4 linked regions of the Alligator mississippiensis genome follow. The protein of the gene in region 4 interacts with the protein of the main gene of each other region in a biochemical or structural test. Links are inferred from orthologs where the notes say so. Each region holds a gene or a part of one and is shown on either strand. Other genes may lie near its edges.

What was found.
Region 1: the proteins of ERBB2 (region 4) and TXK form a complex in vitro, tested with the Homo sapiens proteins (2 studies listed by BioGRID and IntAct, with this or other methods). The link is inferred for Alligator mississippiensis from reciprocal best matches to the Homo sapiens genes ERBB2 and TXK.
Region 2: the proteins of ERBB2 (region 4) and STUB1 form a complex in vitro, tested with the Homo sapiens proteins (4 studies listed by BioGRID, with this or other methods). The link is inferred for Alligator mississippiensis from reciprocal best matches to the Homo sapiens genes ERBB2 and STUB1.
Region 3: the proteins of ERBB2 (region 4) and ABL1 form a complex in vitro, tested with the Homo sapiens proteins (3 studies listed by BioGRID and IntAct, with this or other methods). The link is inferred for Alligator mississippiensis from reciprocal best matches to the Homo sapiens genes ERBB2 and ABL1.

Annotation. Positions count from the first base shown.
Region 1 is NC_081825.1:57,156,815-57,163,921, forward strand, and holds the start of TXK (tyrosine-protein kinase TXK), read right to left. Parts: upstream 3,005-7,107; coding exon 2,895-3,004; intron 320-2,894; coding exon 244-319; intron 1-243. UniProt on the Homo sapiens protein: Non-receptor tyrosine kinase that plays a redundant role with ITK in regulation of the adaptive immune response. Regulates the development, function and differentiation of conventional T-cells and nonconventional NKT-cells.
Region 2 is NC_081836.1:29,911,683-29,918,921, reverse strand, and holds the start of STUB1 (E3 ubiquitin-protein ligase CHIP), read left to right. Parts: upstream 1-4,239; 5' UTR 4,240-4,296; coding exon 4,297-4,512; intron 4,513-5,069; coding exon 5,070-5,268; intron 5,269-6,029; coding exon 6,030-6,195; intron 6,196-6,567; coding exon 6,568-6,658; intron 6,659-7,239. Other genes in the region: uncharacterized protein LOC106737444, read right to left, coding at 671-823, 1,549-1,708, 3,545-3,752, 3,915-4,042. UniProt on the Homo sapiens protein: E3 ubiquitin-protein ligase which targets misfolded chaperone substrates towards proteasomal degradation.
Region 3 is NC_081835.1:59,333,714-59,341,583, reverse strand, and holds the start of ABL1 (tyrosine-protein kinase ABL1), read right to left. Parts: upstream 3,002-7,870; 5' UTR 2,049-3,001; coding exon 1,913-2,048; intron 1-1,912. UniProt on the Homo sapiens protein: Non-receptor tyrosine-protein kinase that plays a role in many key processes linked to cell growth and survival such as cytoskeleton remodeling in response to extracellular stimuli, cell motility and adhesion, receptor endocytosis, autophagy, DNA damage response and apoptosis.
Region 4 is NC_081827.1:165,333,971-165,341,952, forward strand, and holds the start of ERBB2 (receptor tyrosine-protein kinase erbB-2), read right to left. Parts: upstream 3,003-7,982; 5' UTR 2,764-3,002; coding exon 2,676-2,763; intron 1-2,675. UniProt on the Homo sapiens protein: Protein tyrosine kinase that is part of several cell surface receptor complexes, but that apparently needs a coreceptor for ligand binding. Essential component of a neuregulin-receptor complex, although neuregulins do not interact with it alone.

The sequences.
Region 1 (7,107 bases), on a different chromosome or scaffold from region 4:
CAGGCCAAATGAAAGTGATGCTATAATCAGCCCTTTCCTATCTGAGAAAATGCATTACTTCTAAATCATGATAAAATGCTGTTTAGAGTGCTTATATAAAATCTGCAGCACCACAACTTCAAAAGACTTGGTAGGGATTTAGTTACCCCATCGTCTGCACTGCATTGATTCACTATATGGCTTTGGACTACGCACTTAACCTCTTTATACTTCAGTTTCCTTTGTCCATTAAATATTACTTACTCTGTACTTCTGGGTAGATGCATAGGAGAGTTGTTGTGAGGTATCACAGTCCAGACTCAATTTTGTTCTCACCGCTCTAATTTTGAAAGACAAACACAGTGTTTATGTGAATATATATATCAAAATTCAGATTAGCTGTGGGAAGGGGAAATGCATCCATGTTTTTCAAGTTTCAGCAGATCTACCAAAAAATGAGGGTTTATATGTAATTATTTTGCAAGGCATATAGCTTTTGATTAGTGGGAAGATAACGTATTTGATTTACCTTTTTTGCACTGAACAGCAGCAGCAGCAGCAGAAAACAGATTGGATGGTGTGATCTGAAAAAAACATTTCCCATATTTTTAGCATTTTTTGGTTACTGAAATGAGGAGTAACATAGGTGCTGGGTTCTATTACTAGCTGGACTCACTGTAAAACCTTGGACAAGTCACTGAGGACATGATTGCGAAGCCCAGGACTGTACAGATGAGGTATCTACACATGTGCTTTATCACACTGTAAACTAATTTACTGCACAGTAAAGCATTACCCTGTACACATGTACAGCAATTGGGATGGTGTAGACTAATTTACAGTGCTGTTGAATAGTCCTGTCAGACTCAGATACTATCTGGCAGTGGAGTGAATTACTTCACTTAAACACACATGTAGATGGTGACATCAGGATTAGTTTACTCTAGCTCAAATTGCACTGGAGTTTATTCAGTTGCATTAATTGCATGTGTAGACATACCCAGAATTAAATAAAAGGGGTGAGTAAGAGGTGAAGCCAAATATCCAAAGAGAACAACAGGTTCCACATCTGTGCAGCAGTCTCAATATCTAGCACAGCTGAGTACTGTCGGTTCTCTACTACAAAGGACATGGCATTCAGCACTGAAAAAAGATCTAAGGAGATGTATTAGATGGTCTCCCAAAGAGCAACCATTTTCCAAGTTTAGTTTTCATGTAACACGATCTCTGCACAGTCATTTTACTATGTTCCACTTTAGTTTGTTCCTTTTCTTTCTCCCTCTCCCCTCCTCCATCACTATTTTTGGCTGCTTATTTCCCCAGCCCAACCTGGGATGATGATCCTTGTAAAACTATTGTGTGTAAAAGATTTGGGATGACATATTTCAATTAAGTTTTATCAAACATTATTCTTTATGGAACATAAGTCTATGGAAGAGAGGATGGTAGTGAAATGCTAGGCTCTTTGGGAGGTAACTGGCTTGCCACTTATTTACTATATGGTCATGGACAAGTTACTGATATCTTCTCTCTGCTTTGTGTTATCCACATATAAAATGGAAATAGGACATTGTGAGAATTAACTAATGTTTTTAAATAGCTTGGACATCTCTAGCTGTAGCATATAGGTACAATTATCATCATTATTAATAATTCAGGTATAAAAGGCTTAAAACCAAGACTTTTGACAGTTTGTTAAACCAAGAATTTATATCTGACCTTGGGAGGGGAAATCACATTTGTATGATACAACTACTGGATTTATGCAATTCCTCATACTCTGGTGGTAAATTGAAGGATGCACGAGTGGGAAAAAGACACAAATGTGTCAACAGGAAAAATAGCAGCATCAGAGGTCTGAGCTAGGTTGCTTGGTTGGAATTGCTTGTGTGAGGCCTTGGCAGATGGACAGGGATTGGATGAGTTGCAAGAGGGAGAGTCAATTTGAAGCTGGATATAATCCAGCATGGTAGCACAGCAAAGATTATTGAGAATGTCTGTACACATAGCATTCTAAAAGTCTAAGTTTCTGTGGCATTTCTAGTGAAACCTGAATTTTTTTGACCACTACAGACCTGTGTAATATTTTACTAATTTACTAATCTTGCACTATAAAAAGAAAGGAAAAGATGTCAGAACGTCAGGAAGATAATATCAAAATTAGTTCTTAGTCGGAAGAGGAAGAGACCCATTATGGCTCATGCTTGTTTTGCTTTGAATATCTGCCAGCGAGGCTTGTGGGGACAATTTCCCTTGACAGTGGCATTCTGTGAAGAGTCTACAGCGTGGGATGTTGGTGAGCCTATTTTAATCAGAAGACATCATAAACAGCTTGATAAAAGTTTCCAGTGACGGCTATGCAAAGTATGGATATTGTAAATACCCACACCAGCTGACAGTGACATTTTTTGGCTAAAGAAGTTAGATAGAAAAGCAAAGGTAATGTGATCTGTTTGCTGCATAACTTTACATTGTACATTAAGTGCTCTCCTAGTCAACCTGTAGCCTGTTTTGGCAGAGCTAAGCAGGAGGAAAATACAATTGGTGAGCTGGCAGGTGGCACTCTGCCCTTCCAAGCAGTGCTGAATAAATGTCTGGGAAGGGTCATTTTTAAGGTATGGCCATTTGAATAAGGTGGCCTGATTATTTTTGGTCATGGGAGGGTTTATGCTGCTTTTCAAAAGAGCAAGGGTGACTAAATTCTAGATTAGATAATTACATTGTCACTTATCAAGATTTCCTCAGCTGTTTCAATAGGAGATGCAAACACTATGAGATGGCTGTATTGTGTTGCCATGTGTTGTCAAACACACACTGTTCCATCAAAAAAAGGGCCTACTTTTCCATGGTGGGTAAAGTAGTCTCTTAGTGTTTCTTATTAACCCCTATGAGATTCAGTTATTTTTACAACTTACTTATCAGAGCTCTTAAGATTGGGCGCTATAGAACTTGTAAGTATTATTAAACCATCATTCTTATGTAATACTGAATATTTGACTGGAACAACAAATATAGAGGAATTCATGCTGATGCTATAGACCTCTATCAGTGTATAGTGTTTTGATATGAGTAAGGTCTAGACTGTCAATCTACAAATTTTCTGACTTAAGTAAAATTCAGTCTCTCTGCTAATGATTGGTACTTGAAATTTACTGGGTTAAGAGAAGCCTGCAATAAATTACATGATTATACTAAATTTTATAGATATTCTAATCATACATTTACCAGGCAGTTTCTTATAGTGCCCATGAATTTGTAAAAAGCAATGGGTTGAATCAGTAAGGGGGTGTTTCACATGACACATTTTAGATCCCTATTCATACCTGAGCAAAATTTGCATCAAGTTTTGAGCTTTAACTCAGAACAGGGTTCCTAGTCTTAGCACTGTGAGTCAGAGTGGCCCAAATGACTGGCTTCTGCAGAGACATGAGCAGAAAATATGCTAAGGACAGGGCAGTCCTGCAGTTTGCCTCTCCCTCCCTTCCTCTTATGCTTGCCTTTCCTGATTGGTATGCCAGGCTCATAACAAGGGTGAAGGCCTGCTAAACCCCAAATCCTTAGGAGCCTAATCTGCTTTTCCTTTAGATTAAACCAGCAAGGCTGAGAGGGGAACACTGGTGAGTGGGCAGCTCACTGTCTCCATATATACTGCCCAGGCTTTTGCGCCCTGGAGAGATCACCCCAGCTTCACTTTATCTTTCAAGCAAGGATTATGATCAAGACCCTAAGGAAAAGACAGTCTCAGTTCTCTAGAAGCAGATCTGTCTCTGCATATCTCTTGATCTAAACAGCTCCATCCTTTGCAGTCTGATTTCTGGAGTTGTTTTGTCTTTTTAATATTTTCCTGCTTTGGCTGCTCACTAGCAGCTGCAAATTGGACCCAGTAGTAGTAAATAAAGTTGAAAGCTGAATTATTCACGTGCCATGTTTCTGTGGGGAAATGTACTGTTTGTTGAGGACAGTATCATGGAATGAGTTCTCAAAGAACCTTTTAGTTTTAATTTTAAAAAATGGGAATTGAAGTTCTTAGGATATAATCTCATTTTAGTCAACTCCCTTAACCGCAATACTGCCCACCTGTACTAAGTTACCTCAAACAAATGCCTAATTATGTAGAGTTGCCCCTTCCAGGTCACTGGGAAGCTTTTTAATTACACAGTACAAATGATATCACCTTCCTATTCTGACCCTCTTGAAATGAGAATTTTTAGTTCACAAGCCACTAAACCAACAGAATAGCCCATAGCTGTTTTGAGGTATAATGTTGGAATAAGAAGACTTAACCTTCTTATCTGTATAACTCAAACCCTCTCTACAAATGTCAAATTTCTTAGTTCCTTGTGTGAGTAACTAATAGCCTGATTCATGTCACAGTCTCATATGAGCAACACAGGAAGTTATATTCACCCAGAGCTGCCTTCAGGTATCATAGCAATACTGAATAAAGTGCTACAGGAAGCCTGCACTTCCTGACAGATGCATAGGCAATATATAGACTCCCATGGCCATCTACCCTCTCATTTTGCAGGTTTTTTTTTCCTTTCCAAAGAGAGAGAGAGAGAGAGAGAATTTGAAGCAAAAGAACTAACACACACAAAAAAGCAGATTCTGCTGTGAGCATGTAAATGAGAACAAATTTCGTCCATTATTTTTTATAGCTAAAACATTGTTTTTACATACTTTCTTCCTGGATTCAAGTCATCCATTGAATTCAGTCCAGTCCAGACCCACTGAAATCAATGAAAAGGCTCTCATTGATTTTAGTGGACTGTAGATTAAATCCCTACCAAACTAGGAAAAAACATTTTGTATATGCCAAACAAGTTTGCTGTATAGCAATAAGATATGGACTCAAAGTGTTCATCCCTGCCCCAATTACATTAGTCCAAATATATCATTGCTCTTTGGCCATAAGGTGGCCATTTATGTTTACAATATTATAAACTACAGATATCATATGTGACTTGATTGGGTAGAAAATACCTTTACTTCTTTTCCTGCAGCATGTCTGATCTACAGTCAACTTCTGTTTGGAACTAAATCTGCCTAAAGCTGCTCTGCTGCCAACCTGTTTTTAGCACCTTCTTCTCTGTGTAGTACAACAGAAAAACATTGTACCATAAGCTATATAAAAAAAAATGAATCTCTTAGGCCATTCTCTTATCACCATGACATGGAAGTGATAGTGACAACATTTCCACCCTTGCTGCCAAAACATCCTTAGCCCATATCCTCAGCATAACTTGACTTAAAATTTACACCAGCTGAAATCCCTTGACTCCCAAGTTTGTCATGTTGTCATCGTGGATGGTGGTGCTGAGAAATGAGTGACAAAAGATACGCTGAGGAATCTTTAGCTTAAATGTCTAACAGCCGCTATTGAACTAACTTACCTTGGAAAGGAGCTGAAGCTGGCTCTAGCTATGTGGAACAGGAGTCTAGTGTGTCAGAGAAAGGGAGGAGGAAGAAAAGACAGGCTTATAGTGGTGATGAAAAAAGGTGAGCTGCTTGAGGAGAAAATGCAGACATGTCCATGAAAACTAAGGGGGAATATAAAGAAGTGCAGGAGCCTTTTGTGTTCCTGTTGCTATTATAAGCAACTTTGGTCCTAAAATATTAAGCTTATAAAGAGGTTACACAAAATGTGACAACCTAATGATGCCCTTTCAGTTAATAGACCTACCAGGTCCATGGCCAATACACACATATGAATACATGTAATTCATATCCTTTCCATGTCCATTTGTAAACTGTTCTCATTAAGGTGAATTGGGATGTATCATCAGACAACCAGACAAAACAAAAGTCTAGTTAGAAATGTGTTTTTCTTATCATACATCTTTTTATATTTTTGTTTGTCAAGTTTCTAAGGAGGGGTAAGCATGTGTTCATTACTTCTAAAGCAATGCTAAATGTTGACAGCTCAGTTGCAGTCTCATATCAAACCCTGAACAGTTTACTATTTTGAACAGGTTGAGCTAACCACATAAATTGGGCACATTGAGGAATATTTGACTTGCCTACCCCATCTTTACTCATCAATAAAAAAATCTCACTCTTTTGTAACATAGAAAATCCCCATCAACTGATCATATATCCCTCAGTATTCATCCAAACTAAAACAGTAGTAAACACTGCCTGTTTGTAAATCAATAATGTAGCTTGCTTGTAAAAAATATTTTTGTAACCAAACTTTGAACTTTCATAAATAAAGCTTACTGGAATATTAGTATTTTTCTTTAAGTTAACTCTTTCTTAAGCTAACATCTTCATAACCAGAAAGGTAGCTTTCATACCATAAAACTTATGTATTACATCTATGCTCTAAAGGCAATTTAAGGAGAGGCCTTTGGTTCCCATTCCCTTGTGTTCCCAGTCAATTGAGTTCTCTATCCTTGTACTTGTGAAGGTAGTAGCTTCACTGAATCCATCATAGCAATTTTGTAATGTACTTTGGAAAGTTATCACCAGGAGTTTTTAACAAATAAAACCTAAAAGTGCAAGAAAAGGCCACTTGGACTATGCAGTGATGTTTATACATCTCATTTGCTAGCTAAAGTGCTATTACACACAACAGAACATAAAGTACAAAATACATGGTTGAATTTACTTACAGGTAGAAAGTGTCATGTTTGATCGTCTGCTTGAGTTCATATAAAAATGTTATCCTTTGTTCTTCAGTTGTTGCCTCAGTAACACTAAAACCCCTCTAACTGAAAGCCTAGCTTTGATGCGTGGTATGGTACAACACAAGCATCATTTAACCCCACCTACTTTCCTGTTTAAGAAAAAAAAATTCACAGGCTAGATATAAATCTCATACCAGTGTAAATTAGGAGTCTATGTGCTGAAGTCCTGTTCCTTGTACCATCAAATTTGTTTTACAACTGAATTATTCAACTGAAATCAATATAATTACTGTGCTGTAAAAGGTGTGAAATTAGAAAGAGTAGCAAACATGTGCCACTGAGTTTGGAGTAATGTAGGTACATTTTTGCCCCAGTCTTCAAATGAAATTAAGTTATAATGATAGGTAAAGAAGGAATTAAGTTGGAAAATGCTAAGGGATCACATCCAGGAGAAATGATGAAGATGGCATTTGCCAATTTCTCTTAAAACTATTTAAAA
Region 2 (7,239 bases), on a different chromosome or scaffold from region 4:
AGCAAAAACATGGGCTTGCAACACCCTTCTCCCCAGCTGCTGCTCCCAGCCCTGTTCTGAAGGGTAGGAAAGGCTTAAAAGGTAAAACCTCTCCCCTACACACAACACCTGGTGGTACAGGTAACTATGGAAGAAGCTACCATAGGTTCAAGCAAGAGATTCTGCAAGCTAGTGGAGCAGACACAAGGCAAGGTGAAGAGAGAGATCGCACAGCAGCTGGTGCTGATGAGCAGGGACCTACCGTGCCTGCAAGATGCATGTGTAAGAAACCAAGGAAATCTACTTGATACAACTGCAAGGCACTGCCTGTGTCTCAGTTACTGGACACAGAAACTTCAGGTCACAATTTGGCACTTAAATAAATTTTCACTGGAGGATCTCAATGGAGCGTGCGGTGGCAGGGGAGTGTTATCTTCATAGCATGGATAGGGAAGGTGGAGCAGAGACCAAGAGACTTGTCCAATGCCACAAAAGCAGCAACAGAGAAGAGGAGGAAACCTGACCCCCAGCTCTGGGTATGAACTACTTTGTCCAGTAGTGCAACAACAACCTTGCCATAAGCGCTGCAGTTCTACTGGCTTTTCAAGACAAGACCTTTAAAACAGAGATGCAGCAAATATCTTCCCCCTCCCTCCACAGGTCCTACTGCAGTGTGGCCCCCACCCCTCACCTTCATTTAGTTTCTTGGTACAAAGCTGGATCCTGTCCAGGTAGCAGATGTAATGCTTGAGGGAATACTTAATGGGGGTGAGGCCTGGGATGGACTCCACTGCTTCATCTGCCATGAAAGCCACAACCTCAGGGGCTCCTGCTGCCAGGATTGCTGAAATGGGAAGGTGGGGGAGTATGCAGCAGAGGAACTGGACAGGTTGGAGGGGGTGGGGGATAGCAGGAGATGCCAAATCCTTCATCACAGCAGATGTCCACTTTCTTAGGGCCTTGGGGCTGGCTCTTGGATGCCTGTCAGAGCCTGCCAGGGCAAGCTGGCACATCACAGAACCTGAAGCCAAGCCAAGAGGACTTGTGCACACCAACACTCCCAGGAGAGATGGGACTGGACCAGTGCAGGGTTCAAGGGGAGGCTTGCCCTTGGGCAGCTGGAATTACCTCTGCTTCCACAGATAGGTGTCTCTCCACCAGCTCATCACAGCAGGAAATACACCAAGCCAGTGACTCAACCATCCCAGCTGGCACCTTCTCGTGCAGGTTTGCATGCCCTCGACCTGTACTTTCTGCTGCCCTCAGTGCTAAGGACCTCTTCAAGGTTTTGGTTTTAACAGGCCACTAGCAACTAGTTTGGCTGCCTGCAAGACTAGGAAGAACCAGTGGCTTCCCCCTTGTCCACAGGGCTGGGATCTAGGGCCACCGCTGTTTCCCAGGAGCCATGAGTGTCAGCATCTTGCATCCCACTATGCAAGTAGCAGTGCATGGCTGTTTGGGTGAAAGTGCTGACCAACCCTGGCTGTTCTTTCACTTACAGTTTGGTCAATCCATGGCTCTACCCCCTTATCTCTTCCCCATCCCTCACTGAATTCCCTTAGTCCTTACCTGAAGCTGTGGCTGGTCCTATAGCCTTTAGCTGGCTCAGCTCAGTTATGGCAGCTGCCACATCTGGGAGGAGCTGAAAAGCTTTCCTTGTACAGCGCTCCACTGTCTCCTGGGAGTTAGTGGCCACCAGCTGCTGCAGACGAGGACGGAACTTTCCCCGCTAGAGGGGAGGAGAGAAGGCAGCAAGGTGAGCCCCCCTCAACTGAAGACTTAGCTGTGCAGGTGACTACAGCTCATTGCTTGTAACCCCAGGGGCTGAAAGGGGCAATACTCTTATTAGAGGGGATCCAACTCTGAGGCCATGAGTTCTTTGCCAACCCTTTGAAAAAAAAACAGAGCAATTCTTTCTTGGTATACATTTCTGTTCAACTGTAGTCCCCTGACTATGCTCTACATGCCCCCTGGGATCCACCACGCCCTAAAGATAAGACTCTGAGGTCAGAGAGAAGATAGCCCAAGAGGTCTTTGCCTAAAGCAATACTGTCCAACTCCCCTGGGCTTGTCCTAAAGCCACATCCAGACCACAGAGCTCCTCGTGGGCTAGATCCAGATCTACCTCTGGCAACAGGGGAAGTGGCAGTGGTGTGAACTGCTGTGGTTTCCTGGGTGTTTGTGTTGGCTCAAGGAGCCGAGAGGAATAACAGTCTTTGCTTGCCCTGCTGCCACTGAACTGGCAACAAGGCTCTGTGCCCTAGTATTCAGCAATGGGCCCAGCCCCCACTCACCCCAACCCCTCTAGGAGTCTTGTGGGCTGTGACAGGTCCGAGGGCCAGACCTGGTCTGCGGGCTGGGTCTTTGACACCCCTGTCCTAAGGAATAGGAAGTTGGGTAACCAATTTGGAAAATGCAAAGTGGTTTGAGGCTGAGCACAGTGTGCCTGGAGGAAAGTTTACTTGTTCACAACTCTCGTGTATCTTTTCCAGCTACTACGCCACCCCCTTACTCTGCATCTTCTCTGGGATTTTACCTTCCTTTCCTCGTTTTCCCAAGTAGACAACAGCCTTGCCTTCACGGCTCTATCCTATTACCACGACACTCCTATCTCAGTGCAGTTTCATCTACCTTCTCCTTTCTCCCAAATATTCTTAGTGACTAAGCCAGCCTGCTGCTTTCACCCTGCCCAGCTATAATTGGACCAACCGCTCCATTCCAGTGGATTCAGAGCCAATGAAAATAATTCAATTATAAGCTCACTGATGCAGATAATCTCTCTGTGCGCTCAAAGAGCTGTGGGCAGTACTAACGCTGTGTAAAAACAAATTAATAATAATTCCCCTGGAAATCCAATCACAGGCCTGTGGAGCTAGTGGGAGGAAACTGACCAAGCTGTGTGAAATGCAAAAGGTTAGGATTTATCTACACTCAAACTGGTTTGCTGCTATAACATGACTGGCATGGCTGGACTGCTAAATCCCCTACTGGAGATGCAGTCATTGGATCCTTTAAACTGTTGTGTTAGGACAGCTCACACCAGTTCCCCAAGTGGAACAGACTATCCCAGAAATACGCTGCTTTGCCATCGTGACTGTATCTGCATTCAGGCTTCAGTCGTGTAAGCTGGGCGATAACAAGGTGAGCTAAGGACAGAGCTCCATCATGCTCCTAACTAAATTTGTTCGGCTAGCAAAGGTGTTTACATGGAGACAGGATCAAAAAGAAACGTGACATTTCTAGAGATGAGGCTACTGACTCCTCAGGCCCGACTTACCACAGCCTGTCTGCAGCTGAATGCAACTTAGAGCAACCCCAAGGTTGTTGCAGGTTGAACCAGGGTCCAGACTGATTAATTGATTAACAAGCCGCAAAGATGACATAAAACTGCTTCTCTACCCCTGCCCTGGGCCAGAGGCTATGGCCGGCCCATGATTTCTGTCTCAACCTTAGAAAGGTAAGCACAACAGTTACCAATTTAAATAGCTGTCAGACAGCTGGCGCGCACGTGCTCCCGAGCGGAAGCAAACACTCAATACCCTGCAGACGTCGGATCTCCCAGCACCTGGAAGAGATGTCGCAGCCCGTGGGGGGCTGAGACCCCCGTCCCAGCCGTGCATCCACTCCCATTATAGGGCTGAGACGCTGCACGTGGCCATTCAGCTGGGAAGTGACTCACGGTGAGTTTCCACTGCATCAGCTTCACTACTTCGCCCTGGGTCAAATGCTTCTCTTTCCGTCCCGCGAGAGCAGCCGGCAACTCCTCCTGATACCTGAAACAGAGCCCAGAGCGGGCAGGACTCGCGCCGCCGCCTGCACCCGACCCCCTGCGGCCCCTCGTGTCACCGGGGCACCAGAGCCTGGGGCTCCGCACTGGCGACAGCTTCGGGCGGGACGAGCAGTTGCGCGGGCGCCGCCGCCGCCGCCGCATTTACCATTTCTCCAGCCCGGCGAGGCCTTTCCGCTCGCTCCCCTTGGCTTCGACCACCGCCCAGTGCAGGTCGCGCACTCGTCTCCAGCACGCGGGGTCTTGGCAGCCGTAGAGACCTCCCTTGGCCGCCATGTCTGTGAGGACCCCTCGCTCCCGCGGTCGCCCCCGCTCTCCACCAACGCTCCCAGCACGCGCCGTGCGATTCGCGCCAGCTTCCCAGTGTCCCCTGCGGCAGCCCCAGCCCCGCCCCTCACGTGACCCCTCCCGCAGGCCACGCCCCCGTCCCGGAAGTTCCGGCGGGCGGGGCGGGGCCGTGGCTGTGGCCGGCGCCGTCGGTGTCGCAGCCGCAGCGCAGCGCCAGGCCGGGCGGGCGGGCGCGCGCGGGGATGAAGGGCAAGGAGGAGAAGGAGGGCGGCGGCGGCGGCGGCGCGGGGCCGTGCGGGGCGGGGCCGCGGGGCGGGGGGCCGGGCGGCGCGGGCGCGGGGCCGGGCGGCGGCAGCCCCGAGAAGAGCCACAGCGCGCAGGAGCACAAGGAGCAGGGCAACCGCCTCTTCGTCGGCCGCAAGTACCCTGAGGCGGCCGCCTGCTACGGCCGCGCCATCGTGAGTGCGGGGCCGGGGGAAGAGAAGGGCCGGGCTAGGGGCGGTGCCGCCGCCGCGCGGCCTCTACCGGGCCCCGCCGCCCTCCAGCGCGCCTGGCTGGCAGGGCCCCGCGGGCCACGGCGGGCCGGGGGAGGCCCCTTAGCGCTGGTTCCTGCCCTGGCCCAGGAGCAGGCAGGAGGGCAGGGGCGGCCTAGAGCCGGGGGCGGAGTCCAGGGCTCAGGACCCGCGGAGCAGTTGCAAGACCCCCGAGCAAGTGGCCCAAAGCACGAGGTCTGTCCCTGTGATACTGTAGATGTTAACATAAGCAACACTGAGGAAAAGGAGGTTTTGTAAAGATGGTGCAACATACATATCTGCATAATGAGATCCAGTAACAAGCAAAGGTCAAAATAAGCTAAATATCAAGGCTGAGTGCAGCCTAGTAGACTGTATATAATGGCCCAGGAGAGTAGTGGAAAGTGGTCACACACCAGGAAGCCTCCCAGCCCCAGCGGTTAGGGAAGTCTGGGGGTGGTGTTGCCCTGGGTTGCCCCTAACGCACGCAGGTCTTCTTCCAGAACCGCAATCCCTTGGTAGCCGTGTATTACACCAACCGGGCCTTGTGCTACCTGAAGATGCAGCAGCACGATAAAGCCCTGGCAGACTGCAAGCATGCACTGGAGCTAGACAGCCAGTCTGTAAAGGCCCACTTCTTCCTGGGTCAGTGCCAGATGGAGATGGAGAACTATGATGAGGCCATCGCTAACCTGCAGAGGGGTGAGTGCCTGCCAGTCAACAGGCAGCTGGGCCTGACTCAAGGCATTGACAGTCTTCATAGTCTATTGACCTTCCCTGCTAACAGGAGTGCCCTGGCTGCTTTTAACTTACCGGCAGGGGGTGTGGCTGTTCTCTGTTCAAAGGTGCTAGGATGGAGGCCCTAGCTAAGCTGCAGGCAGGCCTCCCATCCTGAACGGGCACAAGTAGCGCCCACCTGCAAAACTACAGCCTGTGAATACAAAGTAGAAAAGGCTGGAGTTGAGCAGGGGACAGCTTGGAGTGACCGTACGTGCACAGCTTCTCCCTAGGCCGGGGGTGTTTGGAGCACCAGTTGAAAGCCTGTGGGAGTTCAGTGCCTCTGTGCTTGACCACACACCAGTCATGTGGCTGCGGGTGAGGCCCAAGGGGGAGTCAATTTCTTTGGCAGCTGCTTGGAATTCAGTCCCCAAGCAGTTTCTCTGCAGCTGGTATGGTGGGGTTCGGGTTGTAGCCTGCAGCTTCAAGTTTAATGAGCCCTCCCCATTTGCTGCTTTGTGCTACAGCAGCAGCATGACTTAGGGCAGTGCCACTCAGGAGCATATTAGCCACTTAAAGCTGTAGATGTCAACTTCCGTCTGCCCTGCATGTGTAGGTGCTGGCGTGGCCGGAGCAGAAAGAGTGAAACCATCATCTAGAGGCTGGTATTGCACTTCTCGTGATGAGCTGCACTGCCAAGTGGGTTTAGGAAGGCTTCTCTGCTGACCTCCACTTTGTCTCCTCAGCCCACAATCTTGCCAAGGAGCAGCGGCTGAATTTTGGGGATGACATTCCAAGTGCCCTGAGGATTGCCAAGAAGAAGCGCTGGAACAGCATTGAGGAGAAACGGATCAACCAGGAAAATGAGTTGCACTCCTATCTGACCAAACTTATCATGGCTGAGAAGGAGAGGTAATGTGGGTAGGAATCTCTTCCCCCTCAGCAGCTAGGAGGGATGGCCTGGAAGAATATCAGGCCTCTGCAAACAAGGGGAAGGAATTGGAGAGTCCTCTGAAGGATGAGGGCAGCCTGGCCTCATAGACTGACTTTGCTATCTGGGGTGTGAGGAAGGCAAAGGGGTTGAACACCTGCTGGCATCTGCTGTTGCCCTAAGTAGTCTGGTGCTGTTATAGATGGTGGAGTCCCTTTCTGAGAAAGTCAGAGGCTTTGTGCCAGGGACCTGTGTTAATTGGGAGGTGACCGCTCCTCCTTCTCCAGCATGGTGTTCCTGGTTGCTTGCCAAAGCTTGCTCTGTGCTGTAATATTCTTCTGCATCTGTCCTAGGGAGCTGGACGAATGCCGAAGGACACAGCAAGAGGAAAACATGGATGAGAACCGGGGCAGGGCTCAACTGGCCAACATTGAAGCCAAACATGTAAGGCATCTCCCTCTTTGTATATTTGGGACTCCCAGGGGGGTTGGACTGTTTCAGTGTGTTTTTGCTTGGGGAGAGCTGCAAACTTGGGGGGTGCTGCTTCCTTGGGCCACCCTAGCATGAAAGGTGGTAGCCAGACCTTTTTGAGGTGAGCATAGACCTATGGGTGACCTCTGGGTGGTTGAACCCATGGGGGCACCAAGAGATGCCACAGTAAAACCTTTGTGGGAATTCTGGAGCACAAAGGGGAAGTGGCTGTCACCATGTCCTGCTTTCCAGGCTGCTGTGCTGAGCGAGGATGACTGTTGGGAGCAGAGCTATAATCACAATTGCAACAGGTCAAGGAAACAAAGCAGGTTTCCCCTCACAGTGGCTGCTGTCTCCAGTGCTCAGTGTTTGTATAATGCAGGCTGCTTCTGAAGCTCTTTTTACACCAGGTGCCTGTCCAATACCAGCAGCTGCAGCCCATGTCAAAAATAGGTTGAATGGTATTGCATCCCCTATTTATATCCTGTGCCCTGTCCATGCTGTGCGATGCATCACTCAAGGTAGCTTGTCTGCTGTGTGGTGTCTGCTCAGGG
Region 3 (7,870 bases), on a different chromosome or scaffold from region 4:
TGATAGCACGTTTTCTTTTAAAAGGCAAGAATCACAATTTGAGAACGATAAGGAGCACCAAAGACTACTACCAATTCCTCCTTGCTGGTTTGTTTCCCAAGAATGGCATGCAATTCATTCACAGAACAGTGTTTTGTAGGTCAGGTTTCAGCCAGGAGCTTTTTAAACAGCCTTAACCCATAGCAGAGATGAACAGAAACAGCAGAGCAGACTTAACTATTGTCTGTGTTGATGAGAGCCTCTTCAGATACTCAGAAGAGAAGCTTTCCCTCATGTGGGTAAGTGAGACCGTACTTCTGCAATCCCTTAACAGATGTACTAGTCATGATGGCCTCTTTCAAGTTATATTCTTTTTTTAATTAGGACACCAAGGTCTCTGGTGGACATATGGAGTATGGGTATCATAGATACTCCTTTTCCTTGCAAATGTGCTAGGCTCTCCTGACCTCAGGTCATCCTGGCAAAAAAAGTTACCATCTGTCTACTCCTGTTCGATGAGCAAAAAGCAGGCTTGCTGCCTTGTCTGGCAGATCAAAACCCTGAAGCTGGGCAGAATATTGCGTTGCTTGTAGTTAAGTGCTTTGTTGCTCACTCTGGCCCATCTGACCTTGAAACTGTCTCGAAAAGCACAGAAGCAACAGAGATGGGGAGGGTGCACTTGTTTTTCTTTTTTCCTTTCCAAGGTACTGAAGCCTTGGCTTGGAGTGTTCTCATAGCAAGAACATGCCACTGATAAGAGGGCTGGGTCAGCTCCGCTATTGCCTAGCTTTCCACGGTTCAGCTTCAGTTAACAAACAATTGCTGTGCAGTGATCAGGCAGGGAAAAATAAGTTAGTCGGGACTACTCTGATTGGTTTTAACATGTCAGTGTATCTGCAGCATCTCCTGCTAAGAACCCTATTGAATTCTTTGGTCCCATTGAAAAATTAAAATCACATAATAAAGCCATTTACCGAACAAACCTCACTCCGCAGACTTCATTTTCACATCTTCACCTAGTTTGGTCTTTTCTGAGAAGACAAATCTAGCAAAGTTTTCTACTGGACAAGGATGATAATGTTACTTTATTCAGCATTTTTACCCAGACAAACATGGTCGTGATCTGTTTCTTGTCAGAAAGCCGTAAGTAATGAGAGGTCTTAAAAGAAGCGAAGAATTCAAATGAAGTGCTAGACAAGTGAGGAACAGTCTAAAAGTTTCTTTCTGCATCCATCTTTTAGAAGGGGCCCTATTACCTTAAAATTTAGTCAGCCAAAAAATCTAAGTTCAAATGATGAGTTATGGATATTATCACCCTCTCCCCCAGGCTGCACTGACCATTGGCTGTCCCGTGACTGGGTGCACAGCGCAGTCGTACAAAGTCCCTCAAAAGTCACTGTCCTGAAAGCAGGTCCATGTGTGCAGAGCCCTATACCTACAGGCATCGTCACACCAGGAGACTGGCCTAGCTGGTGACCCAGAGGAAATGAAACTGAGAGTGATGTCCATTCACAGGGGAAACGCACACATACACACGCTTCCAGGCATCACAAACATACCCACAGAAGTGACAGCCTACCTTCTAAGCACAATCAGAGGTTCACAAGGACACGTATTACCAAACTAGTTCATGTCCTTTAAATACACAAGTGAAAGGATGCAAAATATTCTCTGACCTTAGAGGAAAAGACAGATTCTCTTTTTTAATTTACTAAGAAGCTGCTTTCCCTGCATTTAAGCTTTATAATAATGCTCCCTTCTCCAAGCCCACTCATCAGTCACGCAACTGGGAAACAGCAATTGAACATGCCAAAATATTCTTAGGCACTAATCACGCATAAGCAGCAAAAAACCTTGACCTCTGCTTTTTTTTTTTAACCCCTTCAACAAGCCAATAGTGCGCTGTAGAGGCCAGGTCAATTCAGCCCCTTACCATGCTCCACGAAGACATTGCAGTGAGGGCCTCCATGCCTGGATGACTCCTTCTTCCCTGCTCCCTTGATGAAGTGCAGGGCAGGCAGACTCGGCCTCCTTTGGTCCCCAAGAACTTTTCCAGGCTGTTGCCCCATAAAGTAACGCTGGGCTGCCGCTCCCAGGACCAGAACGATTCGGACACAGACAGCCCCGATCTTCCAGGCTGGGAGTTTTGCAGGAAAACGAGACGACCGAGGAGCAGGGGGCTGTGTTCACACCATCCTCCAAGCAAGTCACTTGAGGCGGAGAGTTCAGTCAGGTGCACCCGTGCTCCCGACGCTCAGCGAGGCCGTGCGGGTGGCTCGACGTGAAACCGTGCACGGTAACGAGATTCAGGAAGGACAACAGGGCTTACGGAAGCGTCAAGGGGCCCGTCTACAGCGGCTCGTCCGCCCGGTGGGACGAGAACGAGTTCATCTCGCCGAGCACCAGTCACCCAGGGCAGGAGACGGTCATTCCCCCGCAGTCCGGGTCCGCGTTTCTTTTTTTCTTCCTTTTCTTTTGCATAGCATTCAGTGAGAAAGGCCAAAAAAGAGGTAAGGAGAGTGGGCGGGAGGGGGGGGTGGCTTCAAGTATTGGGGGGCGCCAACTCGGTCACACCAGGCTCGTCGTCCCCGAAGCGACCGCGTCGGACGCTGGCCCACGGCTACCTGCGCCACCAGTGCCTCGTGCTCATGGCGGAGCGACGCGGCCGGGCCCCCACCCTGCCCCGCTCACGAGGGCCGCGGGGCGGGCGGTGGGGGCCATGGGCAGGTGGCGGGGGGCCGGTTTCGGCAGAGGTGGAGCCGGGGACGCTGGGCCGGCTTCATGCACCCCTGCCCGTGGGGGGGTCACCCTCACACCCCAAGGAGGGGGGTTGGGTCTGGGGCCACACAAGGGGGGGTCAAACCCCAAATGGGGGGGTTAAGGCAGAACGAGGGGCTCAAACCCCAAAGGGGGCTCAGACCCCAAAAGTGGGGGGGGGGGTCAGGCGGGGGGAGGGGCTGCGACCCCAGGGGGCGGGGGAGGGGCACGGGGCGGGGGCGCTGCCCGGAGCGCAGCGGCGAGAGCAGCTCCCGGAAGCCGCGGCCCGGCCGCTTCCGGCCCCGCCCACCCCGCCCCGGGGCTGGCCGAGGGGCGGAGCCAGCGCGGCAGCGGCGTGCCGTCACCAGGCCCCGCCCCCCAGCACCCTTGAGGAGGCGGGGGCAGGCGGGGCTGCACTCGCCACTCGAGCTGTGGCGGGGTGCGGTCCGTCCCAAGCGCGCAGGAGAGCGGGGTGATAATGCAGCTCCGTGCGCTTCCCGTCCTCTGCCATGACCCCTCGGGTCCCTCCCGCCTCCGCAGTGCGTCTGTGCGCATGTGCCGCAGCGCCGCCCGAGCCGGCTCCGCACCGGGGGCCCCGTTCCCAGGTGGCAGTGGTGCCAAACCAGGGATGCTGCCACCTCAAGTAGTCCTGGAGGGGGGCCCCAACTCGAAAAGTTTGCGAGCCGCTTCTCCAGGTGCTTTGTGACCAAACCCTTCGACACACAGTTGAGCAGGACCTATTCTGTCTAGCCCAGCGGTGGGCAACATATGGCCCTAAAAAATTAGAAAATTAATATTTATTAATATTTATTTGCTCCTAGCTGCCTGTCAAAGATGACAGGAGCCAGGGCCGGTAGGACCCAGAGGAAGCTAGTGGCAGGACCCAGCAGCAAGGTTGGCCCAGCCCTTGCCCCCCTGCCTAGCAGAAGTTTCTGGCCTGGGAGCCTGGGGCTGTTCCTGCTTCGCTGCACGGGGAAGGGAAATGCAGCCCTCAACAGTTTGCCAAAACTCGGTAAGTGGCTCTTCACCCAAAATAATTGCCTGCCCCTGGTCTAGGCGCAGTTGTGATGTACATGTTCGCCTGAATGATGGTCACCTGTTTTGACTCCAGTCGTTTGCCAGCATTCAGACCTTGCGCATTGTTTCCAGCAAGAGGAAAAGCCGAGGAGACAGTTGTTTCTTTGATGCAATCCAGTTGATTTATGAAGAACATCCTCAGAGTCCTGTTTTCCAGGACACAGCTGGACAGTTGCTTTGCTAACAGGTCTAGGCCTCTCTGCAGCCAGCACGCCACCCAAAAGCTTCCGCCACTGAGGCTTAGATCACGTAGGTTTCTCTGCTGCCTTCTCTCTCCGACTCCCTGGTGTTTCTGCCGCTCCCCTTCTCCCTTCCTCCTCCACCGCCCAGGGCACCAAAGGATACCCCCGTGTAAAACCCACAGATTGCAAGGGCCAAGTCTTGCTTGTGGCCAGGGCTGCAGAAAGCAGCTCCTACTCTTTCAGCTGTCTCTTGCACAGAAGGGGTTTCAATGCCTCTTGCATTCCTCCTGAATGAAGTGTGGTGGTTACACCCACCAGCTGCAATGAGGTTTCACCCAACCCCCAGCCTCACAGGATCCTGAAACCCCCTTGTTCTCTACCTTAATGCCAAATCTTAACATGTAAACTGTTTGGTCCCCAGGAAATAGAGACAGTGGCTTCAAGGCTGCCTTTGACAGCAGGGTTTTTTATACTCTGACAAGTCGTTCCGCTGGGGCTCATTTTTAATTCACCCAACACCACTCCCCAAACTTTCCTTGCAACACAGGCATGAACCAGGAATGACCCAGTAACTACATCAGAGTAAGCAACAATTGGATTAATTATACGTTTGCATGAGATTTAAAAATCCCAGCGCACATCACTGGGAGGGCAGAGGTCCTTCTCGATGCTATTAAAGTAACTCAAACTTGAGCAGTAATAAAAACAACAGCAATCACCTAGTAGCTTCAATGTTTCTCTCATTTCTGCCAGCAGCACCCATCAATAGGAGAACCCTCCCTTGCAAATCCTTCCAAGAGAAGTAAATGATGGGTCCTAAAAACTTTAAAGCTCCTCCGCTGTAGATGAAGCTTACCCTGGTACTTGCCCTTTGTTCCCCCTAAACCAGTGGTTCTCAACCTTTTTAGACTCAAGGCACCCTTCAGAAAGTGCCAGGTGTTAGCTTTCATTTGTTTTTTAACTACAGAAAAATAATAGAGCAAGTTTTCTGTTGCAAAGAATTCAGAAAAGCCACAAAAAAGTCACAATGTTTTTGACGTTATGGATTCCCCTTTGAAATCTTCGGCTTTATCTTGTGAATTGTGGAAGTGTTTGCACCCTGTGTCACCTTAAAAAGGATCGCATAGCACACCAGAGTATTGCAGGAGCCTGGTTGAGAATCATTGCCCTAAACAAAGCTTAATACTCTTTGCATCCAAACATGCACAAGTGCAACAGAGAGCTTGCAAACAGGCTAAATGGTGGCTGACACAGACTACATACACTTCAGTGTAGATGGAACAAATTAAAACCAGCTTGTTCTGAGTGCATTTGGTGCCCATTTGGATGCCTCAGCACTCCTTCAATTAACATGACTGTTGATTCTAGCTTTCCCTTTGCTCCCAAGCCAGAAGTTAACCTTGGTCTTTCTGTTTCCTCCCCCACGTCTCCCTTGCGTGGAATTCGCTTACATCCTTCCCTCGGAGAACTGCCAGGAATCATCTTTACCTTCACCCTGCTTTTGCCAAAATCCTTGGGCATTTGTACGTGCCACGGCATTTGATCCTCATTAATTTAACATTTGATCCTCATTAATTTAATGCACCTTATAAATTTTAACCCAGGTTATTTTGGTACGTTGAGTAGGTGTTTGCACGCCACATGCTTTCCGATGAGTTAAAGTCTCGCGTGTAATTCCTCGCAGATTCCAGGGGGCGGCAAATACCAATCTACCCCCAGTAATGTCTTTCCTAATGAATTCTTGTGTCTAGATCACTTCCTAGCTCAGTTCACTTTTTAAATGGTCTTCTTCCACCCCTGTGCCCTCAGCTTCAGGAGGCCAGGGTACTGCAGCTCAATGAATCGATCCACAGAGCACAGCCTTTAACACTTGGTCCTGTGTGTTTCTCCCTGCAAAGACCCTGTGATGGCAGAGATGTGATGTCATTCACTATTCCCCAAAATGGGAACTCTCACCTGCCCTGTACAATCTTCTGGCTCATAGCTCTTAAAAGATATGACTACACAGGGTAATTCATCAGAATAATTATTGTAGAATGAGTTATTCCTCAACAGCTCCCAGGGTGGACGCTCTTATTATGAGAAAAGCACCTTTTCCTGATTTAGTTTAATTCTTTTTTCCGAAATGGATTATGCTAACTTGGATAAGAGTGTCCGCACCAGGAGCTATCTGGAACAGCTATTATGCTTCAAGTTCAGACTCTCTTCTTCTGGAAAAGCTTCCTCACGTAGACAACCCCTAAACCTTCCCTTCCCCCTAAGTTTCAGGTGACTCTGGACATGGACTGATGACCCATATATATTGGTTCCATCAGTGTTACACAAGTGTAAAAACATAACAGACAGATGCAGCCCCCAAAACTGGGGTAATGTTGCCCAAGCAGACAAATAATATACTTGGATTTTTTCAGGGGTTCTTCATCAGTGAACTACCAGGGAAGGTTTCATCTGTCCAGCTTATGCCAAAGTAGCTATTTGCTCAAAGCAGAACAGGCTTTTACCTGTTCCCCTACCAAGTAATGGAAAGGTGCCATAATAGCAGACTACACTTTGAGCTACTCTGAGATAAGCTGCACTGTCTGTTACCTACTCTGGTACAATTTCTATAGGTGCACCACACTGATGTAACTTATGCCGAAGTATATCATCATCTCCCCACGCCCTCCCTCTGTAACGTTACAGGTGGGTCTGCAAGGGGGAACCAAGTACCAATAAACTCCACTCTACCCAACCCAACTCCAATTTAAGATTCCTGACATGAGCTTTTAATGTTATCAGTGGATCTCCACAGGGAATAACTTCCCTGCCCGTTCTGGATATGTCTCTTCCAAAGGCAGGAGCACTCTGAAAAGAAGTCATTCCTCAGGCCCCCCAAGCTGACCTGTTTGCCCGAGCTGTTGGTTGAACTGTTGCTCTGGTTATTCTGTCATCATTTAGACTGTTAGTGACTTGGTTCTGTTTCAGATAGAGCCAAACACCATAACAGCGCTAAGATCAGAGCTGAGCATCGTAACAGCGCTTAAGGATTGCCGGTCCAAATTCTGAGCCCACGGCATGTCAACAACCACCACCAGGGTTAACTACCAAAATCAAGCAGGCTTGCCTCCTCTGTGGAAAGAGACTGGTTTCTTTCTTACCCTTCTGGATCCTCTTCCTGTAGGATGTGAAACTTGTTCAGAGACTTGGGGTTCAATGGAGCTGAAGGGAATCCAACACCTGATTTCAATGAGAACAAGACTCCCAGCATGTTTTAGCTCCTTTGAAAATGCCGGGATAGTAAAACATCCCTCACTCTGCAAGTGACAGGTAGAAATGAAAAAGCTGCCTACTGGCTTGTAAAGCTACTTGGATAAAAACCCTGCTGGCTTAAAAATTGAACAAAAACCAGAGTGAGCCCCCAGAGATACCGCGTTCTGCCATCCTTCAGGATTTAGTTGTAGGTTTGGCACTTCTTTTGCTGAGTTTGCGTAGAACAGCAGGGACCTCTAGCGACCAGTTAGGAAAGTACCAGCTCCACATTTCTGTAAGCACGAAGTAAGAAAAAATAGCGCTTACCTGCTGCTGATTCTGTTCACAGGCCCCTGCCCAACACAAGGGGTTAATTACTTGGGTTCATGGGAAACTAGTATGTTCCCACACCATCACTGGTTCAACAGACCCAATAAGTTTTACTAGGAGATGGGAAATTCCTTTATCAAATAACAGAAGGAATCCATCACCATAAATTTAGTGTAGCTGAGCAAAATACTATAGGGTTGAGCAGAAACTGCCACCTAGTGTCTAGTCAAAGCCAAACTTAGGGAGACATAGGAGGAGGAAGACATGGGAAGGGTTCTCTCTAGTTCCCACAGAAAAGGCGAGAGGGTTCAGCTAAG
Region 4 (7,982 bases):
CTTCAGACAATGCACATACATAAATAAAAGAGATTCACCCCAGGGGTCAAACTACATGTAAACCTTGCAGTCACGCCCAAAGTAAATGGCCTGTGTGCCTGCCCCACATCCTACAGGTCAGGCTCAGTTCGTTCAGACCACCCACTGTCTAAAGTAGTTTTGCAGCAGTGACTTTGTAATGCTATAGACTGAGGGAGTTTCTACAGGTGCCTGAGCTGTGGATACTTGAACATGAGCACGGCAACCTGTATATGGGACCACACACAAGCTGAACTCCATCCAGAAAGGACTGGAGCTAATGTGACTTTTAGCCTCTGCAAAGACCTTCCAAAAAATCTCAGATCAGGCTTCTTAATGCCAGGAGTGTTAACAGCATGGTGCTGGTGTTTGCTTTGGAACCCTGTCATTCTGATCTCACCAGAATATCCCACATTCCCCACACGGGTTCCCTTTCATGGGGATTTGATGTGGCTGTTCATGTAAGATATTCTCTTCCAGGTAAACATGACAAATCAGGTTAGCATGTGAACTAGGGAAAGTGACTTACTATCAGGTGTTTGCTAGGATCTCACCAGCAGAATAGGATGGGGTGTGGACAGAGAATGTGTATGAGAAAGAGAGAGGCAGACAGACACACCCACAGGGAAACCCAAACAGTGCTCTTGCAGCAGTAGGCACTAGGCAGCTCTCCCTCTGAACCATAGCAAGCAGGGGCATAGGCTCTGTCTTTCAGCTGAGGTATCAAGCTAATTTACCCTTACTTGATATAATATGGGAATCCTGTGGGATTCTGCTCCACCCTTCAAGAGCAGGTGTCCTGACCAAATAAATTCTGCCAAGTGAAATCCTGCTCCCTCCTGTGGATTCCATTTGAAGGAGTTTTCCTTTTACTTCCTGTCAAACTCTTGGGTAGCCTTCTTCTGGACTGTGACCACCATGTCACCAGGGCCAGCCTCATGGCACAGCCTGCTAAAGGATATAGACTATCTAGACTCCTTCCACGAGTTCCAGCTAGCCTGGCGCAAGTAGAGGCAGAGCTTTCCCTCAGCACAGAGAAGGTAGGACATAGGGAAGGCTGGTTGTAAGGCTCTTCTGCCAGGACTACACCTGGCAAAGTCTAGACTATGAAGCAGCTCCACCCCAGCAGTGGCTGCATCACCATGCAGTGAGGTTATTCTTGTACATGTGAAGTCTGTGAAGCACTTCAGGATGCCAGGTCTGACACAAAAAACTATTCTTTGAGGCTCAGGGCCTGTTATCACTAAATCGAGGGTATTACAGAGCTAAGAGAAATGGGCATCAAGTGGATCTGCCTAATCTGCCAGTCCTGCCCATACCCAGCTAAGGAATCAGAAAATGCTCATGACTTGTTTGTTGCCTTCATGAGGTAATTCTTACCCACCCCTTTCCCCTTCCCAGCCCTACCTGCTAGATTGCCTTTCTCCTCTCCCAGGGTGAGAATTGCCCCAACAAAATGTACTTGTAGCCATAAGGCCGCAGCCTCACAGCATTCAGCTGCCATAAAGGGCTTGACCCAGCGGGTAGGACAGGTGAGGTGGTAACAACACTGCCATCTGCATCAATGCAGAGAACCCACACCTTTGCCATCTAGCTTATTTCCCCATCAGGTGTTTTGTAACCTGCTAAACAAACACCTCTTTCCAAGCCTGCTGCAAAGCCCAGCTAGAACCCCACACTCCCAATTTTGCAAAGTAAACTCCTCTCTGGGTTATCCAGTGGCCCAGATGCGACCCTACGGACACCGAGCTAAATGCAAGTGTATGTGCCGAGCCGCGTAGCTCATCCAGCACCTGAGAGGCGATCCAGCCGGCTCCTACCAGTTAGCCACACTCCCCTTACTTCCCGCACGCAGAGAGCAAAGAGTGCCAAGCCTGAAACTTTAGTGCCTGCCTTATATTGCTTTTTTTTTCTGCTCCAGAAGCAAAATCGCCGACCGACCAAACAATAAAACCTCCCTCCACAGATCCGAAATGTCTAAGCCACCCTCTGCCTCAGCGCAGCAGCAAAGGAATGAAAGAAACCATTTTAAAAACCAACTCCGTCTCTCTCTCCCGGCCCCGCACCGCGGCCAGTCCCAGAGCGACTGCAGTTCGCTCGCTGCCTTCACGGTCACGTCCGATTGTGGCATGGTGCCGGCACAGTGAGACGGGGGTAGAAAAGCAGCGATCGCCCTTTTTGGTTGGGGTATGAACCCCACGAAACAACACTGGAGTGGCGGCTGAAGCGGGCGGGATCACTGCAGGGCTCGCGGGCCCTGGTCAAGTTCGCGGCTCGAGTAATTGACCAGTTCTTCTCCTGCCCGGCTCCCGGCTCCCCTCGCACTTGGCTCTTCGCGGTGGGGAGTTTGTTTTCTGCTTTTCCCGGCTAAATCTTTGAGGAACTTCACCGCGATTCTTCCCGTGGGTCTGATCTCTGCCTCCACGCGAGTTCCATGAACTTTAGCAGAAGTTTTGGGGGGTTGCTTTCCACCCACTCTTCCCGCCCCCCCCGGGGGTGCTGGAGTCCGGAATATTCAAGATCCAGAGCTGCTGCCTTCCTTCCCTCGCATCCCACCGGCCCTCTGAAGTTTCTCCCTTTCCTGAGCGTCCCATTCCAGTTTCCAACCCCCTCCCCCATTTCTTTCCCCCCTCCCCTCCGTTTCCAATCTGACCCACCTTCGGTGCTCCAGAAGCCTGGCAAAAAAGAGGCTAAAAGCAGCCCCATGAAGAAGCAGCAGCTGCTGGGAGAGATCATCGTTTTCATTGCAGACTCCAGCCCATGGCTTCTGGCAGAGAGAGGGGGGTCCGGCCAGGAAAGTTCGCGCGTGTGTTTTCCCTGCTTTTGCAAGCTCAGAGACACACCACTTTGCTACTGCACTTCCTCCTCGGGACGTGCGGCGCGCCCCTGAGCTGGATTCCAACTCCCTTGGGAGTGGTAAGGCACTCCGTGCCTGCTCTGTGCCAAGACCATTGTGCGCCTCCTGGGAAAGCAGCTTCTCCCTGTGCTGCCGCTTCAGGGTCAGTCCGATTTCACTTTGCTCTTTGCCTCTTTCGTTCCTTCTCAGCCCAGCCCGGGCTGCCCTGGCACAGATCTGAGTCAAGTGAGAGGTGAAGAAATAGGATGACACTGCAGCCTGGAAGGGCTGATCTCTGCCTATGCCTTGGTGGGGGGGAAATCTCTTTTTCTAGTACCCCCAAGCTGGCAAACAGCTCTAGGAATCACTCCAGGGAAAGACAAAAGAGAGTGTAAGGGAGAGAGGCTTGGCAGATGGGTTTCACTGCCATTCTGCAGGCTGAGGTTGAGCAATGGATTTCCAAAAGAGTGCAGTTCCCAAGACACCAGTGAAATACGTACCTAGGTTTTCCAGGGGGGTTGAAGGCTTTTGAAGGGGATGGGCTTTTAAAGGCTTCTCTCACTGGGAAGGGTTGGGCCCTGGGCCCAAATTAACACCAGGATCCTTTGAAGAATAGGTGTAATGCCAAGCATAGGCATTACACCTATCTGTGAATCCCAGCCTGTCATCATCTTCAGTTGGCTGTGAGGGTGCTGAACCCCTTCAAAAGGGAAGGAAGGTGCAAGTGTTAGGATACTCTTGGGCTTCCTATCATAGGAAGCCCAAGAGTCATAAAGACAGGGCTAGAAGGGACCTCTGGAGGCTATCTGGTCCAACCCCCTGCCTATCTTAACCATCCCATACAAGTCCTTGTCTAGCCTGTTCCTAAAACCACACAATCAACCCAGCTGCACAACTGCAAGGAATATTGCCCAAAGACACCACAAACACCTTAACCTACCTCATGTAAAGCAAGAGGATGTGGGCTGCCAGTGTCCTGTGGCCGCCAGGTTCCCTATTTTGCTCCAGTGTGAGACTATAGTAGGTAAGTCACGTAAGGGTTGAGCCTACGTTGACGTGCAAAGATACCCAGACTACCATTAAACAGCTTGGCTCACAATGAGCTCTGTGCAGCTGCTCCTGTACAGCAAGTTTGGGTATGTATACACTGGAGAATCTGCCATGTAGATGCACTGTGATCCAGTCCCCACTCTGTATAGATGGACAGTGGCACTGCCCTGCCACACTGCAGTGTAATAATTAGCAAGGAAAATTGTGGGGTACTTAAATATGATGGCACCAGCTCCCATATCAGTAACTTCAGCCCCTCAGAAATCAGACTGTCTGTTGGTGCTTGCCGCCTTGTCCCTCCTTCAAGCTGTAAGAAAAATAGTCTGATCTTGGAGTTTTTAGCATCTCACATCACCACTCCTGCCCCTGATATTTCTTAATTAGTGGCATTTCTTGATAGGAGAAATAAGAGTTGTAAATTGCCAGGGTGGTGTTGTCACAAGGAGATTATGTGGAGATGACCTCCTTACACTCCAGAATCCAAGCTTTCCTTAAGAGGTGTTTATGGGAATGTGAAAAAGTCTTCAGATCCTGGACTGTAAATAAATGCTGATCTTTGCTTGAATTTGCTGAAAGTCTGAAACAAAAGATCCATGGGGTGTGAACTGCCCCTTGCTGCCTGGTGTTAGCTCTGAAGTCTGTGGATCAGGGCTGATACATTTTACTTTGTGTATTCACTGTTAATTATGTTGCTGCTGATAAGGATATCTGAGAAAGGAGAAGGGTGAAAGTATAAGATCTGTAAGTGGCCTTTTGTTCTGACCTCTCAAGGGGAGGAGTTTGGTCTGTGGGTGGAGCTTGAGAGGCTCCCAGGATGGATTTCTTGGCCTATTCAATCCCTGATTGGTAGATGAACCAGCATCAAGATCCTGAATCTGAGCACTGCAAAACTTTGTGAAAAGTCAAATTGGATTGAAACTGAGCAGCAGAGACCTCTCTTTGCTTCTGGGTGAGGAAATAACTGGTACTACTATGGGCTGGATGCCATGGAAAAGTCCTAATTAGGATAATGAAGGTAAATTTGGATAATCAGTAAGGCCCGTTATGGCCTGAAAATCTGTGGAAAGATGCCTTCCAGCCTGCCCCATCTCCTTACCTTGCCAGGAAGAAAAAGGATCCTATAAAGTCGGGGCGGGCAATGATTTTGGGCAGAGGGCCACTTACTGAGTTTCGGCAAGCCATCAAGGGCTGCATGACAGGCAGCCCAGGGCAGATTAATATGAATTTTCTAAATTTTTTAGGGGCCCCGCGGGCCAGATAAAATGGCCTGGCAGGCCACATCTGGCTCCTGGGCTGCATTTTGCCCACCCCAGCCATAAAGTGTTATGTGAGAGGGTAGTTCTAGCTCACTGAATAGAGGGTGTTAGCCTGCGTTGATTCAGATTATCCAGACATGAGCGTGACAAGACTAAAAGCCCCAAGACAGATCAGTTACTTTTGCTGCTTATTGTTGGAGTTCTTTAGGGAGTCAGCATTCAAGTGCCATTCATGCACTCAAATGGGCCAATTCCAGTGTGGATGATGCTCTCATAATGTTGCCATTCCCCCTGATTTTTCAAAGGACTCGTAGTGGTTTTGCCCCAAGGCTGAATTTGGTCCCATATCCAGCTCTGCCTTCTAAACTTCAGCCCTCCACACTGAAATGTAACTGAGCGCTGAGCCAAGGAGTTGTCACTTCCTTACTGCAGGTTGCTTAATTTAGTCAATGCAGGTGACTGGGAGACAGGACTCCCAGGTCCCATACTGGGATCTGTGCCATACCCAACTGGACCCCTTCAGACATGTCACTTCACCTTTTTAGGCCTCAGTTTCCCTTGCTCTAAAACAGCACAACGGATCTTAAATACAGGAGACTGTGAGGCTTCATATTCTAAGGTCTTTGAACGTGGCGGGCAGAAGGCTTCTGAGGGGTACAGTATCTCAGAGTTATTCTTCTATATAATATACTGTATCCCAACTTAAGAGCAGCCTCTTCAGTTTCTCGGTACAAGGAACTGTTGCTAGTTAATACTCTTAAGATAATGCGTATGAGAAGAGCCCGCTAGTTAAAATCCTAAATGTTTCCACTAGCACAGGGTAGTTTGGTTATGTCCTGGAACGTCTCTAAAGTACATGTGCGAACTGGATCTGAGTGGATATTGACATGATGCTGCTGCTGGGAATTTGGTGCTTACTGCTTGGTGCCTGTCCCCAGCCTGAAAAGACTAATATGAGGAGCTTGCTCCCTTTGGCAGACCTCACTTCATTTCCTCATGTAGCTGGAAGTTGTCATCCGGGCTACAATAGACTGCCACAGTTCTGTCTCTGAGTTGAAGGAGAGCACAGGGCAGGGGAGGGTGGTTTGGGGGAGGAGTTGGGTTGACAGATTACACCCCGGGGAGGAAAATCTTGGATGAAGGAGGGACTATTAGAGAATGAACTCCATTCAAGCCTCTGCCGAGCCCTTCAGGCAGCCAAGAGGAGAAGAAAAAAAACCCATCTGTTGTTGTTGTTTTATTTATTTTTTCTCTCCCTCTCTTTCTTGCAGCAGTTTGAAAATGGGAGGGAAAAGAAAGAGGGGAAAACAAGTTTATTGCTCTGTGTTCTCTGTAATCTGCACCTGATAACAGCCAGGCCCTGCTTTACAATTGCAGCAATTGTGCTTTGGTTGAGATGTCTGTGTGTGAGTGAGCAGAAGCAAGTGGAGTGCAAGGACTGGGAAGGAAGAATGAAGGGAAGGGGAGCCTCTTACATTGGGGGGGAGGGTTAAAACACAGTTGCATCTTGGAGGGTAGCCCAGAGTGAGCTTGGTAAAGGATGTTAGCTGATTTGAAGACAAAGAGTTTGGTCCCATCTAGCATTGCAACTGGCTCTCTCTTTGTCAGTGATTTTACAGCACTGTTTTGAAAGGAGTTTCCATGATGGAAGACCCATAGCTCACTTAGGCCTGGATAGTTTCAAATCAAAACCTTCTGCCAATTTGGCATGAAGGCACCCATGTTATCTTTCTTAGGCCTTCTTTACACACAGAGTGGTACTTGAGGATTGGTCTGCCTGGAAAAGTTTGCACCTATTTTTACCTAAAATGGGAGTGGGTAAAGTCTGGGTCGCAGTCCAGATCCGGTCAGTAGTGGACTCCATTTCCCAGAAGCCCCAGCCCAAGTAGCTGGGGCCAGTTTCCATGGAGACCCCAGCAGCAGCCAGGGGCCAGGGTTTCGGTGGAGACCGACCCCAGCAGCGCCAGACTCTTCCTGGTGGGAGGCCTGGAGGGGCTGTGCTGCGGGTGAGAGTGGGGCAAGCTCAGCTGCTGCCACCTGTGTGGGGCAGGCAGTGATGGCAGTGGTGCTGGGAGGAGCTGGGCCAGAGCTGTGATCCACTGCCTGCACACCCCTGCCTGGAGCATGCAGGCAGCCAATTGCAGCTCTGCCCTGGCCCTGCACCCTGCCAGTGCTGCTGGGGCCAGTCTCCATGGAAACCCTGGCCTTGCACTATCACAGTGAGGCTGTTGCTGGGGTCTCCATGGAAACTGCCCCCAGCCAGGCAGGCTGCTTGGAAATGGAGTCTGGTCACTAGACAGATCCACCATTTTGCCCACCCTGACCTAAGATGCGATCATGAGCCAATTGCACTAAGCTTTGGCAAAAGAGCATGTAGATGCTTTTATTTCAATTTAAGCTCTATTATCTGAGTTTAGCTGAAATTGATTAGGAATCAGTTTAAACCAAACCGACATAAATTCCTCTTCAGCCAAAATGTGAGTATCCACGCTGGGTTTTGCACCCATTCTAATATTATAAAAGCCCAAGTCTGTCTGTCCATAATGCTCTAGTCGTGCTCTGATTGGCTGTCTCAGCAGCCAATCAGAGTGCGCTATACAGAGAGGGACAGACAGCAGAGCGCTGCCATGACAGTGGGGACTGAGGGGAGTGGAGCTGGCCTCGCCCCCCTCTCTTGCGCTCTGGAGGCAGAGGGGGACGATGGGAACCAGAGCTCCACCATAACAGAGGGGATGGAGTCCCCCCCACAACAACAGCCGGCAGGGAGGGGATGTGGCGGGGAACAATGGAGGGAGGGGAGCAGGAAGGGGAGGGGGGCAGCA